Linked DNA regions of Cricetulus griseus. The protein of the gene in region 1 purifies or fractionates together with the protein of each later gene. This does not show direct contact. Links are inferred from orthologs where the notes say so. Each region holds a gene or a part of one and is shown in the gene's direction. Other genes may lie near its edges.

What was found. Proteins that work in one complex are often made in the same cells at the same time.
Region 2: the proteins of Birc2 (region 1) and Tank purify together in Homo sapiens (affinity purification with mass spectrometry; 4 studies listed by BioGRID and IntAct, with this or other methods). This does not show direct contact. The link is inferred for Cricetulus griseus from reciprocal best matches to the Homo sapiens genes BIRC2 and TANK.
Region 3: the proteins of Birc2 (region 1) and Htra2 purify together in Homo sapiens (affinity purification with mass spectrometry; 4 studies listed by BioGRID and IntAct, counting the BioPlex papers as one, with this or other methods). This does not show direct contact. The link is inferred for Cricetulus griseus from reciprocal best matches to the Homo sapiens genes BIRC2 and HTRA2.

What each region holds. Positions count from the first base shown.
Region 1 is NC_048597.1:122,199,300-122,204,168, reverse strand, and holds the end of Birc2 (baculoviral IAP repeat-containing protein 2), read left to right. Parts: intron 1-2,124; coding exon 2,125-2,379; intron 2,380-2,607; coding exon 2,608-2,649; intron 2,650-2,734; coding exon 2,735-2,928; 3' UTR 2,929-3,387; downstream 3,388-4,869. UniProt on the Homo sapiens protein: Multi-functional protein which regulates not only caspases and apoptosis, but also modulates inflammatory signaling and immunity, mitogenic kinase signaling, and cell proliferation, as well as cell invasion and metastasis.
Region 2 is NC_048599.1:113,304,410-113,309,695, reverse strand, and holds the start of Tank (TRAF family member-associated NF-kappa-B activator), read left to right. Parts: upstream 1-1,505; 5' UTR 1,506-1,617; intron 1,618-5,286.
Region 3 is NC_048601.1:74,224,844-74,230,139, reverse strand, and holds Htra2 (serine protease HTRA2, mitochondrial), read left to right. Parts: upstream 1-1,515; 5' UTR 1,516-1,554; coding exon 1,555-2,030; intron 2,031-2,135; coding exon 2,136-2,340; intron 2,341-2,429; coding exon 2,430-2,624; intron 2,625-2,880; coding exon 2,881-2,913; intron 2,914-3,110; coding exon 3,111-3,216; intron 3,217-3,349; coding exon 3,350-3,419; intron 3,420-4,160; coding exon 4,161-4,256; intron 4,257-4,354; coding exon 4,355-4,520; 3' UTR 4,521-4,700; downstream 4,701-5,296. Other genes in the region: Aup1 (ancient ubiquitous protein 1), read right to left, coding at 26-98, 323-507, 719-869, 949-1,086, 1,165-1,301; Loxl3 (lysyl oxidase homolog 3), read right to left, coding at 5,088-5,161.

The sequences.
Region 1 (4,869 bases):
CACCTGGTGCACACACAGACACTCAGCTCCTACACATACACGTACACATACAAATGGATACTTTTTCTTTAAAGCAAGATTTAAAACTGATTGAGAGCTGATTGTAGTGGAACATGACTCATTCCTACAACCCTAGCATTCAGGAGAGTGAAGCAGGAGTGTGCTGAGCTCAGGGTCAGCCTAGGCTACATAGCAGGAATCTCTCTTTAAAAGATTGAGATATTTCTACTTTTTAAATAAAGTTCCTTTAAATCTGGTTTCTAATATGGTATTTTATTAGTAGGTATTTACTTGTTAGGTTATCCTTATACCAAAAAGTCAACTTAAGATGATCCTGGGCTGTGATCCTTTGTCCAGCCCATGGACAGTATATAATGATTTTGATATTTGTGTACTTTTTTTTTTTTAACATCTTAACCTCCCAGAACATGTCTTCTGAGTAATTACATTTTCAACAAATATTTTCATATGTTTAAATATGTAAACAGCAGAGGTAAATAATGTGAAAGTGATGATTGTTCTCAAGGAACATGTAAAAGCTGGGGAAACTTGGTTCAAAAGACAGAATCAGAGAGCTAGCAGAGGGCCTGCAAGACAGCTAAGTGGAAAAGGGTGCTTGCTGTCCACCCTCATAACCTTAGTTCAGTACCTGAGATGCACACAGTAGGAGGAGAGAACCAGCTCCTGCAGGTTGTCCTCTGATGGCTATATGCACATCATGGTACTGAATCTCTCTCTCTCTCTCTCTCTCTCTCTCTCTCTCTCTCTCACACACACACACACACACACACACACACACACACACACACGGTACAAAAAACTTAAAAGCTGTCAGAGACGTGAAGGTTGTATGTGTAATGTAAATTGAGGTATTAGGTTAGAAAACACTTTTGTCCTTAAATAAAGGTAGAAATAGTTCAGGCCAATGAGGTACTTGCTACCAAGCCTGATGGCTGAGTTTGATGCCCAGGACCCACACGGTGGCATCCCATCCCCCACCCCCCACCCCCCAAGGAAGAAAATGATTTTTTTTTAAGGACTAACTAGTTCAGGACAGCCTTATTGTATGACCATATATCAAAATGTTTAAAATTCTAACTTCTGGATTGATACACATTTACATTTAAGTTCTGGCATTTTTTTGGTTAGCAGGTAGGCAGCTCATTCAACTAAACTTAAGGTTTCTTACCTCTGAAGTGAGGTTATCTGTTATGAACAAGCTAGATTCAATTTTTAAAGCTGCACTATAAATTTAGATTTACAAGATGCACCAGGTAATGTAAGGTAATAAAATGCATTTTATTGAACTCTGTAAGGAAGGTGTTGTTACTCATATTTCAGATTGGAAAGCTGAGGTGTATAGCAGGGGGACATGGCTGAAGTGTCTAGACTTGCCTTTGGGCCAGCAAAGTCCATCTTGACTTGTCGCTTAAGCTCTTGAGTGCTGTAGTTCATAGATGGTGTGGAGTCTCAGAAAGGACATCAGCACTGTGTAAACCAGGCTTGATGGTTCATGCCTGTAATCCCAATACCTAGAAGATACTCATGAGGATCAGGGCTATCCTTGGCTCCATTTGGAGCCTGGATACATAAGGTCCTGTCTCAGTAAATAACAAACCAAAAAACTCAACTAGTTTAGGACTGGTTTGGCAACTCATTTTGTGGTCTTTGACAAGCCACTCATGCTGTTCTAAGGCTCCCTCTCTGGAAGATAGTTGGCTTATTTAACTGACATTTTGAATGTGACAGTTTGTGTGCCTGTACTTATAACCAATAAAGAGATATAATACAGATAAAAATAAATTACTTTTTAACTCCATTGTGGGGAAAGAGAAAGAAAAAGAGGGCACATGTTTTACTACTCTCTAAAGTTTTCTGCTTGTTCTCAACAATTTACAGACATGGGTCCAGGTCCATTAGCATTTAGACTTGAAAGTATTTGTGCTGTGTGGGACATCTGAATTTAATGTGGAAGTTTATGATGGCAGTATGGAGGTGCAAACAAGTCATTTTCCTTCCCCTTCAAGCTCCATTTAGTGCCTAATTTGTGCATAGGGGTCATTGGGTATACTTGGGGCCTTTGACATTTAACGGAACTTTTTCCTTGCTTGTTTTTAACTGAAGGTGACTTGTCATTAATACGGAAGAATAGAATGGCTCTCTTTCAGCAGTTGACCTGTGTCCTTCCTATCCTGGATAATCTTCTTGAGGCCAGTGTAATTACTAAACAGGAACATGATATTATTAGACAGAAAACACAGATACCCTTACAAGCAAGAGAGCTGATTGACACCGTTTTAGTCAAAGGAAATGCTGCAGCCAACATCTTCAAAAACTGTCTAAAGGAAATCGACTCCACATTATATGAAAACTTATTTGGTGAGTTTGTTAGGGAAATTATTTAGTTACCAGTAGGGTTTTGTTCATCTCTCTGTTGAGCAAGCAGAATAAATCCAGTTAAAACTGTAATCTTTACATTTTACCTGTTCCAAAAATACTGGTGTATTTTACTGTCTAGGTAGTATTCTTTGTAATATGTAGCAAAAATCTATATAAAAACAGTAGATTTGAAAAAATGAATGATTTTTGTATGCTTTCTTTTTTCAGTGGAAAAGAATATGAAGTATATTCCAACAGAAGATGTTTCAGGTAAAGTACAGTTAGTACTTCAACATTATTTCTGTTACTTTTTAGAAGTTGCATTTTACTAATGTTCTTTTTTGTTCTTTCTTAGGCTTGTCGCTGGAAGAGCAGTTGCGGAGGTTGCAAGAGGAACGAACTTGCAAAGTGTGTATGGACAGAGAGGTTTCTATTGTGTTCATTCCCTGTGGTCATTTGGTAGTCTGCCAGGAATGTGCCCCTTCTCTGAGAAAGTGCCCCATCTGCCGGGGTACAATCAAGGGGACTGTACGTACTTTTCTCTCATAAATGAAGAATGGTTTTAAAGTATTATTGGACACCAGAAGCCATCTGAACAAAGAATGGATTACTGATTCAACCAGTACATTCATGTTTGCTCTTCTTCAGAATTACTCATCTTGCTTCATGAAAGGTGGTATTGTGTATTTAATCTTGATCTGTTTAGTTGAAAGGGAATGTCTATGCTGATAAGCTAAGGGAGTGTGTATGTATAAGGAGTAGTAGTGTTTGCTGTGTGTCATTCAGGAGTCACTGGATTTGGAATTTCTGAAAACTTTAGGTTCAGGTGATGTAGAGCTCAGAGACTCTGGAAACCAGTAGTCCTGGCACTCAGCAGTTAGGGTGCGCCATGCTTCTTGGTGCTTTTTCCTTCTGGAAAATAAGGATTTTTCTGTTACTTGGTAAATAAGATTCCCCTAGTTGTGAGAAACATATTAATAAAGTGTTTTTTAAAGGCTTGCATCATCACAGTGTGTTTTCTTTTTTTTTTTTCTGAGCACAAACATAAAAATAGAGCACATTTATTAAGAGTAGGAAAGCCACACTTACAGTAAGTAACAATGTATCAAATCTCACATAGTAAACACAGCAAAAGAGAGCAACTCCTTACTTGATATTCTGATGCAGTATCTTCAAAGCCTGTCCTTAACACATATCCACATAAGGCATTCATTTCATAGGCAGAAAAAATGACATCATTGAAACAGATTTCCTGGTTTTCAGCTTTGATTATATTCTACAGATACACTTGAAATACAAAAAAAAAAAAATCAACAAAAGCTGAGCATGGTGGCACATATCTCTAATCCCTGCATTAGAAGAAGCAAAAGCAGGTAGATCTCTGTGAAATCAAGGCCGGCTTTCCTCTACATAGTGAGTTCCAGGCCAGCCTGGCCTACAAATCGAGACCCCAACTTTAAAAAAAGAAAAACAGCAAGAACACAATATTCATTCCTAAAATAAATGTGCAATATATATGTGTGTGTGTGTGTGTGTGTGTGTGTGTGTGTGTGTGTGTGTGCATATATATATAACTTTTATTAATATTCTGTACAATGGCGAATATTTAGAAAGGTCTGATGTTTTCAATTCCCCTGTGAATCACACTGATGTTTTTGGTCCATTAGTCCGGTGGAGGGAGTTGTATTTCTTTTTCTTTGGTGGCTCATCATCTGAGCTACTCTGTACTGCGACTGCTGCTGCTGGAGGTGGCTGGAGTCTGAGTCTGAGTCCGAAGAGGAGGAGGAGGAAGAGGAGGAGCTAGAGACCTGTCATCCAAGTCACTGTCTTCTGAGGAGGATGAGGCAGATGTCTGGCTCTCTGATGAAGACTCACTGGCAAAACTGTCACTGCTAGAGGTACTGGAACTCGTGACACTTTTAGACCTCTTCTTGGCTTTTCTCTCTATATTAGTCTCTCCCATGCTTTGCTGCAACAATCTAGTTTCTTTTAAAGCTTTCTTCAGCTCTGCTGTTCTTGAAGGCCTGTGGAGGTACTTTCTTTTTCCTTTGCATTCATACATCCAATGTCCAAATTCCAAGCATTTCTGACATCTTACATGTAGCTTATTGGCTTCAGCTTGTCTCTGAGCTATCAGCCAATGCATGGGAGTCACCATCTTCACAGTGTGTTTTCTATCCTGATTTAAAAGTAACTTTTATAAGACTTTATAAGCCCTCATTTGTTCTTAGGCTAAAAAAATGAATTCATGAAACAAATTATTAAAGTATTTCTAATAATGTGATTCATGAGAATTCCTTTAGCTAACAAACTGTGTATGCTTTACAAATAAAGTATTGGGTGACGACTTCACTGTCAAAAACTCAAATAACTCTACATGAGAATTTACAAGAAACTGTGTACTTGCCTGGTGTGTGGGTGTTGATGGGATTAGGGGATAGGACACGGGACCAAATCATATGTGGCATGTCCCAGATTTAAATATGGTAA
Region 2 (5,286 bases), on another chromosome or scaffold:
TCTCTCAATGTTTCACCTGGTTGAGGCCAATATACTGGGAATAGCCAGTTTCCAGAAGTTTGGGTCTCAGCCAAACCCAATGGCCAAAGTAAATAATAGAGAGAGGGTTACAGGATGGAGACAACAAAAAATTGGAGTATTTCCAAGTCAATATGGAAGCACCACTTTCCCAAAAAAGCTTTTAAAAGCTTGCTTCATAACTGTAAATTCATAAGGAATAAATTTCCTCACACCAATACTATCTTAAGTTTTTGATATTTCACTTTGTTGTATTTACAGTTAGATTCTAGTTTTCCATTGGACAAAAGCATGTTTAACATCTGATATTTCATGAGTAAGATTGTTATAAGGACATAATGTGAAAGAAATGCTTCACTGTGCATTTAATGGGTAAATAGAACAGTTTTAAACACACTCTTAATCGGCACTTTAGAAACTTCAAAAACATATTTTTAGAGGATAATTCCACCATATGCAACATTACATCCAACATGCTTGTAATATGTAATGAGATGGTAGGGCTTTAAAGTAGCAAAGAAACTAGACTACAAATCAGAAAGTGTAAATTTTAGTTTCTATTAACTGGAATTCTGGGGGATGCCTCCACAGACTTCCTAACTCAGCAGGGCAACTTCCCACTAGATCCAGCCTTGTTCCAGCTCCTGGACTTCCCATGGGAGAGCATAATGCAGTAAATATGACATTGCACTTAAATTCAGGTCACTTAGAGCGACTGTTGCTTCTAACTTTGTGACATTGAACATTTACCTCCCCTGTTTACTCATCTGTAAGAAAAGGGAAATGGAACAGAAGCTGTCTAAATTTCCAACTCTAACATTTTATAACAATGAAAAATGTCCAAATACTGCTGCCTTCCGTTTCCTTGTAAAACTAACAGCTTAGTTCCACGTGGCCTGAGAGAAATTCCCCTGGTGTGTTGGAACATATGCTCATCTATGTAACCAGAGACTTATGTCTCAAACTAGAAATTCTGTCTGAAGAGTCTTCTTTGCTTCACCTTTCTTACCACGGTTTATATTCAAACTCTGGAATCTGAAGCCATACCTTATTTTTTCACTAGGTTTCATCCAAGTGACCTCTGTAAGTCAGAAAGCAAAGAAAAATATACTCAGATTATACTCAAATATGAGTTTTGCCTGTTACTTATAAATACAATGGTTTGGGGTCAAATGTGGCTCAAAGACTAAATGGCATTTTCAAATAAGCTGACTTTTAAAACTTTTTACATGGAAAATACTTCTTCCAAAAAAATTCATGTTTGTAGTTTCTAATTTTTTTTAATGCCTTAACTATTCAGGTAAAATATCATTGCTTCAAAAGGAAGCCAGAGTTATAGTCACGGGTGGTTTCAGAATATTTTCTGGTAGTTTTTGCTTCATTTCAATATCTTGCCATGATTGGCTGTTGATAGCTACAAATAAGGAAGTCTTCAAGTCAGGGGATTTTTAGTGGAAGTCCCCAGTTCAACACAAGGGAGAGCTCAGGACAGTTTGGGCAGCATTGCAGAGCCTGTGAAAACAGCTTCCAGAACGTGTACCTGCCTACATCTTTAAAGAAAAGTAGTCTATGAAGGGAGTCGTGTAACCTGGAAACGAGGTAATCAAATCTTCCTAATTCCTATTAATTCTTAGCATAGCAAGGTGGTTGGGATGCCTTCAGTATGGCAAGATCTGTTCCACTCCTGCACCAGCCAGCTAACCAGCTCCAGACACAAGTCAGTGGTGCCTAGGTCATCACTGACACAGTTAGAAATCTGGCCTTCAAAAAAGCCAAGACCCAAGGAAACTTTAAAACACTGTGACTCTTTTTCTTTCCCCCTAACTTTTTTTTTTTTCCTTCGAGACAGGGTTTCTTTGTGTAGCTTTGGAGCCTACCCTGGCACTCGTTCTGGAGACCAGGCTGGCCTCGAACTCACAGAGATCCACCTGTCTCTGCCTCCCGAGTGCTGGGATTAAAGGTGTGTGTCACCAATGCCCAGCCTCCCCCTAACATAGAATTTTTTATGTCTTTAATTGAAATGAATTTAAAAGTTTGTATCTGATATGTAAGTCTTCTCAAGAAGTGATTTTTTTATGCCATAAGACTGAGAGATATTTGACCTAAGTTAGCTTACTAAGGTGGAAGTAAATTAAAAGCATATGTAGTCATACTTTTTGCTTATACTTTTAAAAAATCAATTTCAGCATGACCAAATGTGTCTATTCAAATATTAACTTAACTTACTTTTATTCTCATAAGAAATACATGATGATGAATATTTTATGACATCAATTATTAGCTTTATAAGGAATTCTAATTATAGTAATCAAGTCTTACTTTGTTACCAACAAGCCCTTTATTTTCATTAATATTAAAGATTATATAATATTTTCGTAAGGATAATCCTAGATTAAATATCAAGAACTGTTATCAGTATTGTCATATTGATAGTTTTTAGACAGTAAGTGTCTGCTAGAGGAAAATGATCCAATATTTTCAGTGGTAGTAATTCAGTGACATAGTTAGACAAGACTTAAATATAAACTCACATCAGTTCATTTTCCCTGGCTTTTTACCACCACTGTCCTGCCCTCTCACAATATTCAAACTATGCTTAGGATGTTTTACCCAAGCTGCAGTAGAATGAGGAAAAGAGAAAATGACTTTATCCAAGTTACAGAATGATCATATCATTCCTGGAAACTGTCTCCACTGCCATCTCTTTGGTCTCCCTAGGAGTACAGTTGCATGTGTAAGGATATAGGTAACATACTACTCTGCCTCTGGGGGATGTGGAACTGTATGTGAACTCATTGTGCCTAAATGTGTGCCCAGAAGCCAGCGGGGGTTCTAGAGCTCTTAAACATTTTCAACTATGGCCACCAGGATGACTCAAAACAAATCACTAAAATTCCCCTGGGGAAAAATTCTGGTTGGAATTTTAGAAAATGTGTGCAGTCACATTAAGGGAAATGATTGTCCGTGCAGTAAAAAACCTTCCCCGTCTGTGAACATCCTCTCTTGCTATATATTGAGGCTTTGGTAAACATCTGGGGTCCTTTGCATTACACGTTGTAGATATAAATAGTAGAATGTATTCCAAGCCAGTTTGCTTTGTCTGCTCCTTTATGAACACAGCATGGGAATTATCCCAGTGAGAATGTTCTTTCAGGTGTGTTTTAACTACTGGTAACATCTTGATTTCATAATTTTATCTGGTCATTTATCGATATCTTGTTTTTTCTAAATTACATAACTTACCTGTGATTTCTAGATCAAAAAGAATGCTTGGACATGCTTCTTCCTTTTTGTTTTCTCACCACACCAACTAGATAGAATTGGTGGATCAGGGCTTCGTAACAGAGGAGAAAGTAGTCAACTGTTATATTTCTGATCTCAGGGGAATTTCCCTAGTGGTTAATATGAAAAAACAACAGCAACAACCAAAAAAAAACCCACGACATTGGCTCTTGGCTTGAGGGAAATGCTTTATCATTAAAAATATATCTTGCTTTATTAAGGGTGCACTTAATAAAAAATATAAATGTTAAACAATACTCAGTGTCTTTGGTAACATTAGAGACAACTGTCATATTTTAGCATTTCTAATGAGGCAGTGATCTGCTTTTTTAAAAGACCTAGCAGAAATCAGGGTGCTGCTGTGTTTCTGTGACTGAGCTGATTTATAAATAGAAAACGTATTTTGTTATTTCTCAGATGAAAATAATAAATTGGTTGATCAAACCAAACCAAGCCTACACATTTCCTTTTTCTCTTCAATCCACATGCTTAGACGCCTCTCTTCTATCATTTTGGCTTCACAATTCAGTTCACAGCTCAAACTAACAGAAAAGAATGAAAACAATGTTGTTGTAAGCCAAGGAGCCCTATCCAGGCAGAGCAACCAGATCTATAAACAAAGCAGCTGTTCATATGCTTCCTGCAAACAGCTTTCGAAAGTTACATCCAAAGAGGGTATGCAAAATGTGTGTCCAAATTGATTATCTTGTATCTAGTTTACATTAAGAAAATACATACTGGAAAGCAAATGTTTGTGATTTACTGAGAATTTTCACATTCATATTCATAAGACAAATTCATCTATATTTTCATTTTACAGAACCTATCAGTGATGAGTTTCTACACTAAAGTTTACTTTCAGAAAGTAAAGTGAGAAAAAAATGCCAAAACGCTCCATATTCTAACAAGAGTTTCGTGAACATGGTCTGTTCCTTGAAACGTCTAAGGAATACATCCAAAATATAGACCTTGGCTTTCCTGCTTGCAAGTCATTCTTTACAACCTTTTCCAATGTCTTCTATTTGCAAATTTTGTGCTGTTTTCTTCCACACCATTTAAGTTTCGTTTGAAGCAATTTTTTTTGAAAAGTAATCTTTCCTTGAAAACATTTTTTTCATACAATGTATTTTGATCATGGTTTCCCCTCCCCCAATCCTTCCCAGAGCCTCTCCACTTCTCTATTCACCCAACATGTGTTCTTCTCTCTCTCTCTCTCTCTCTCTCTCTCTCTCTCTCTCTCTCTCTCTCTCTCTCTCTCTCTCCCTGCCTGCCTCCCTCCCTCCCTCTCCCTCTCTCTCCCCCCTCTCAAACAAGCAAAAACAAAAACCCAAAAAACACACACACAAATATGGAAATCAAAATAAACAAGCAAAATACCAATAAAACAAACAAAAGTCCAAACAAAGCAGAAATGATACAAAAAAATCTCCAAAAATACTATTGAGTTTGTTTTGTGTTGGCCAGACACTCCTGGACATGGGGCCTGTGGGAAAGTGTAGTTAATAAACCCAGTAAGACCCCTATTGTAGAAAACTGATTTTTCTTTTGCCTTGGATCTCAGCTATGGAAAGCTTCTTGGTTAGGAGTGGGAGCTGATGTCCCCTTCCTTCTCTCAGTGCTGGGAGGTCTGGCTTGAGCCTGTGCAGGCTTTTGAAAACTATTATTTTTAAAACAATTCTTCTGATAATTTTTCTTTCAAATGTATTGGCAAACATGATATTATCCTACACATTTTTTTACCATTTCTATAACCCTTTTTAGTGCTCATTTTGTTCATATTTTCTCTCTCTTTTTCCTTAATTGGTCACATCACAGAACTAATCCCTTGGATGTGACATTTTGTACTTAGCTTTATAAAAAATACTTTCTGGAGCAGGGTGTTGGTGGCACACGCCTTTAATCCCAGCACTCGGGAGGCAGAGGCAAGCAGATCTCTATGAGTTTGAGGCCAGCCTGATCTCCAGAGTGAGTGCCAGGATAGGCTCC
Region 3 (5,296 bases), on another chromosome or scaffold:
GATTTCCTGTCCAGCATGTACTCACCACAGAGACCAGCGGTCTTTGAACTTGCAGCGTAAGAGGTTGTACTACGTCCTGGATAGAAAATGGCCACGAACTAAGAAAGAGAGAGTAGGATCGGACAGAGTCCAGCAGAGCTCGGCCAACAACACAAACCTGACTTAAACAGGAAGCTGTCCAACTACATGAGCAAATAATCAAGGAATTAAGAATTTAGGGGACAGAACTAAAAGTGGACAGACAGGAAATGAACTGGAGCAGGTTCACCCAGGAGCTTGACACAGTCCACTAAACTGGAGTCAGAGATCTGTGCTTACCCACCTGAAACGCAGCAGCCCCTCTCTGCCATTGGTAGCCTCTTCCTCAGGGAAGAGCAGCAAAGGTGTGGGCGGAAGCCTTGTGGAAGCACAGAATTTCTTGAGTGACTCCACCAACTCCACCCGCCTATCCATCTCCATGAAGCCCCGAGACCAGCACACAAAGCTGGGGGGGCTATTGAGTAGAGGCTGAGAGCAGGGAGGAGAGAGAGCAAGGAGAGAACGGGGGGGGGGGGGGATGTCAAACAGGAAAGAAGAAAAAAGGTAACACGTGGGGTGGTGCTTATGGGGTGAGGGAAAAGATCGGTGTTCCCCAAGAGAACCCTAATGGGTAGAGGTGAGCACTGAGCTCGGGCCTGGGGAGCCACCCGGTGGCGCTCTCGGCCTCGCCCCCACTCACGGTGCTACAGGTGGTGAGCAGGTTGACTATGTTGTGGTCAAAAGGTGTGACATGGTTGGAAATAAGGACCCTGACGCGGTGATCCCGGAGTCCGGAGTCCTCCTGCCGGGCCACGAGCCCCAGCACTGCACACATGGTCCGCACCACGAACCTGGGGACACAGGCGGCAGTGACTGTGCGGTCTTGACCCAGGCCCAGCCCCGATGCTCCCGGGGCACCGCAGTCCGCACCTGCGGAGGACGCTGTCGGGCAGAGCACAGCTGACCAGGAAGACGTGGAGCCCTAGGAAGAGGCGCAGAACCAGGAGACACAGGCCGACCGGAGCGTAGAGCAGCAGCGCGAGCAGCAGGAAGCCGTCGCTCGGGAGCCTGCGGCGAGAGGCGACGCGATCAGGCGCCGAAGCCGAGAGAACGCGCTGACCGGCCTCTTCCCTCCGCAGCGCTTACCGGTGCGAGTCAAAGAGCCGCTCCGGCCCCGGAGCTGGAGGAGGTTCCATCGCAGCCGCCTCAGGAAAGCAGGGCCGGTGTCGCCGCCATCTTCGCAGGGCCGCGGGGACTCCTGGGAAGGCGGAGTCTTTGGGCATCCGCGGGGGATGCCAGAACCGGAGGTCCAGAGGCGCCCCGGAAGGGCAAGCGCTCCCAGCATGCCTTGCGGCCCCCGGGAGGCGTAAAGTCTGCGTGTATGTGTTCGCCCCGGACAACGCGTCCTGAAAGAACTACAATTCCCGGCATGCACCGGACAGATACCGGCGTGCCTCGCTTCTCCCAGTCGGCTTGCTGGGCTTCAGGGCACCGCCTCTGAGTAGGGCGGGCAAGGAGAGAGCCGAGGCGGAGCTGATGGCTGCGCTGAAGGCGGGGCGGGGTGCAGGCTGGAGCCTTCGGGCTTGGCGGGCTTTGGGGGGCATCTTCTGGGGGAAGGGCCCCCTTTTTACCCCTGACCTTCAGGCTCTGCTGACGTTAGGAAGTCCCGACCCTCTCCCGGCCCGGGTGCCTGTGGGGGTCCTTGCATCACGGGCATGTCTGACGTCTGGGACCCCAGATCTCTGGGCACGGCTGGCCGTGGGGACTGCAGGCTCCAGTGCCCAGGAGGCCCGCAGGAGCCCCGGCCCCCGTCGGCGCGAATGGCTGGCGGTGGCGGTGGGCGCAGGGGGAGCAATGTTGCTGCTGTTGTGGGGCTGGGGGCGGGGTCCTCCCGCGGTGCTGGCCGCTGTCCCCGCTCCGCCGCCCAGCTCTCCCCGGAGCCAGTACAATTTCATCGCAGATGTGGTGGAGAAGACAGCCCCAGCCGTGGTCTATATCGAAATCCTGGATCGGTAATGGTGAAGTTGACCGGGAGGTGTTGAAACCAACTGCCCTAAGGCAAGTGAGCAGGATGGGGTGGAAAGCAGAAGTGTAACCGGTGCTTTCCCCCATCCCAGGCACCCTTTCTCAGGCCGCGAAGTCCCCATCTCAAACGGCTCAGGATTCGTAGTGGCTTCAGATGGGCTCATCGTTACCAACGCCCACGTGGTGGCTGACCGGCGCCGAGTGCGAGTGCGGCTGCCTAGTGGAGACACATACGAGGCCGTGGTTACAGCTGTGGATCCTGTAGCGGACATTGCCACGTTGAGGATTCAGACCAAGGTGGGAATGGAGTAGGCCGGATCTGATGGCAGCTGTTTACTTGCTCCCGTCTTAAAATGACCAGTTTTGGCGTACTCGTTTCCCTTAAGGAGCCTCTTCCCACACTGCCCCTCGGCCGCTCTGCTGATGTCCGGCAAGGGGAGTTTGTTGTTGCCATGGGAAGTCCCTTTGCACTGCAGAACACGATCACATCTGGTATTGTCAGCTCTGCTCAGCGTCCAGCCAGGGACCTCGGACTCCCTCAAAACAACGTGGAATACATTCAGACCGATGCAGCTATTGATGTGCGTCCTGATATGAGAGAAGTTTGGAGCTGGGTGGGAGCTGGGGAGAATGGCTGTCTGTCTGGTGTGTGCACCAACTCCAATGTAGCTGGGCCTATATTAGACGTTGGACTGCAAAATGCAGCCACTCTAGTTCATGGGCTGGGAACAGAATCTGAAGAATTTCCCTATACCCTGGTTATGCCTACAGTGAGAGAATTCCCAGAGGCATAGAATTCCAGATCTCTTTGATGTTTTCTTTCATCTTATCCCACAGTTTGGAAATTCTGGAGGCCCCCTAGTTAACCTGGTGAGTGCCATGCTCTTCTAAGAATCCATACGCCAGGTCAGTGTGGGAAGGTTGGGTGTTTCTAACATTCAAGGACTTTTAGTTAAGTTTCTGTAGTTTCTTGTTTATCTCCTCGTATCCAATCAGACCCCTGCCCCCAAATCTTTGCTACTCTGCCATCTGTGTGGGCTAGGGGACAGAGGGCTGTGTCCCTGCAGGATGGGGAGGTGATTGGAGTGAACACCATGAAGGTGACAGCTGGAATCTCCTTTGCCATCCCTTCTGATCGCCTTAGGGAGTTTCTGCACCGCGGGGAGAAGAAAAGTGAGCCTTTCTTACTTATGATGGGACATAGGGGAGGGGCGGTTCATTGGGACTTGCTGGAGAGGGCTTTACTGGCAGGAGGTAAGGGAAAGAAGGATGTAGCTGGGTGGGCTCATTTGCCCTCTTTTTACAGATTCCTGGTTTGGAATCAGTGGGTCCCAGCGCCGCTACATTGGAGTGATGATGCTGACTCTGACTCCCAGGTATATTAGGGATCATGATATGTAGGACCACAAGTGTGTCTGTGCCTTACAGGTGGATTCTGTTATGGGTTTTGTTTTCATGTCTGTCTATCTACGGTGAGTTGTTGTCACAAGAGCTGTTCCCTCTCATCATAACTTTTTCATCCTATTGCATCTTGTACCTTTTTACTAGATTGATTGCGTCATGTTACTGCTGTGATTTAGAGACTTCATTGATCTAGCATTAAAAGAGCTATTTCTATTTCCAACTCTCTCTGATTACCTTGAAGACTTGCCTTGTTGCTTCTTCTGGATTACTTTGATTTTCCATACCTGTGTGTTGTCCCCCCCCCTCCTCCCCACCCCTGTCCCCCTGCCACCCCCAGGATAGGGTTTCTCTGTGAAGCCTTAGCTGTCTTGAAATTTGCTCTGTAGACCAGGCTGGACTTGAAATCACAGAGATCTGCCTGCCTCTGTCTCCTGAGTGTTGGGATTAAAGCCCACCACCACCCAGCTCACTTCTATGTCTTAATACCTTCTTATTTCATATGGTTAATAGGACCCATCCTTTTAGGCTCAGCTTAAGTTCTACCCCTTCCTTAAAGTAGAATGACAGACATGTAGTTTAACACTGTATCATTTGGAATTAGCTATCTTTCATGTGTTTTTCCCACTTCCTAAGCGCTAGAAGGCCAAAAAAGTGAACTGTCAGGATGAGAGAGGGCCTGGGTATACCTAACAGGGTGGTCTGTGCCCTTTCAGCATCCTTGTTGAACTACAGCTCCGAGAACCAAGCTTCCCTGATGTTCAGCATGGTGTCCTCATCCATAAAGTTATCCTGGGCTCCCCTGCACACAGGTGATGGAAAGCCTGCTCTGTGAGGTGGGGTGGAATGGGGTGCATGTATCCTTGAACGCAGCTGTGTACTCCTTCCTTGCCATGTTCATCCTCCACAGGGCTGGTCTTCGGCCTGGTGATGTGATTTTGGCCATTGGAGAGAAAATGGTACAAAATGCTGAAGATGTTTATGAGGCTGTTCGAACCCAATCACAGCTGGCAGTGCGGATCCGGCGGGGATCAGAAACACTGACCTTATATGTGACCCCTGAGGTCACCGAATGACTGGACTAGCAAGAGTGTGAACCCTCTGCTCTGATTTCCTCCTCGCCTTCCTAGCCTAGGTTCTGAGTGCACTGGGTGGAGGAGTCAATGGACCTGTAGAGGGCAGGTCCCTCTAACCACCAGCACCAACCCTGGGCTCTGAAGAACACATTTTATATAAAATAAAATTATACCTAGCAACATGTTTCAGTCATAAATGGGGGCTGGATCTTTTCCCCCACCAAAAGGCTAGAGGTAAAGCGGTACTTAGGAGAGCTGTGGGAGCTGACCTTCCTGACCTCCCTGTTCAAGGAATGAGCTGCTGCTGCCTTTCTGCTGGGACAGTTCTGTGTGGTGTGTTCTGTCTGTTGGCTGATTCTCCATGCTTGGCCAAAGGTACTGACAGCTGACCCAGTAGGGGAGGCACCAACTTCTGCTCAACTGTTTGTCATCCGTAGTGCACAGGTGGATGAGTGTAGTGGGCCTGCTGACATCAGGGGTTCTTGTGGTAAGCTCCTGAGGTAATGGCAGCCTCAGACCCCTGCCATTGGGGGGCCAGTGGTGGTTTGCTGAAAGGGTGGTGGTATTTCAGACAATCTGGTTGCTGGTCTGGCCAGGGTAGCGCTCAAACCTCCTGTTGGCTTCTTCACTGAAGGCATCACCTGCAGAGTAGACAGGCACTGTGAGGGGCTCCCTGCAGAGGCAGGGACACATCCCACACATAGGGAATTGTGGGGAGATGCAGAAACCACTTGGGGAATGAAAGCTTTGTCCTCCTATCCTCAGTGACCCTTCCC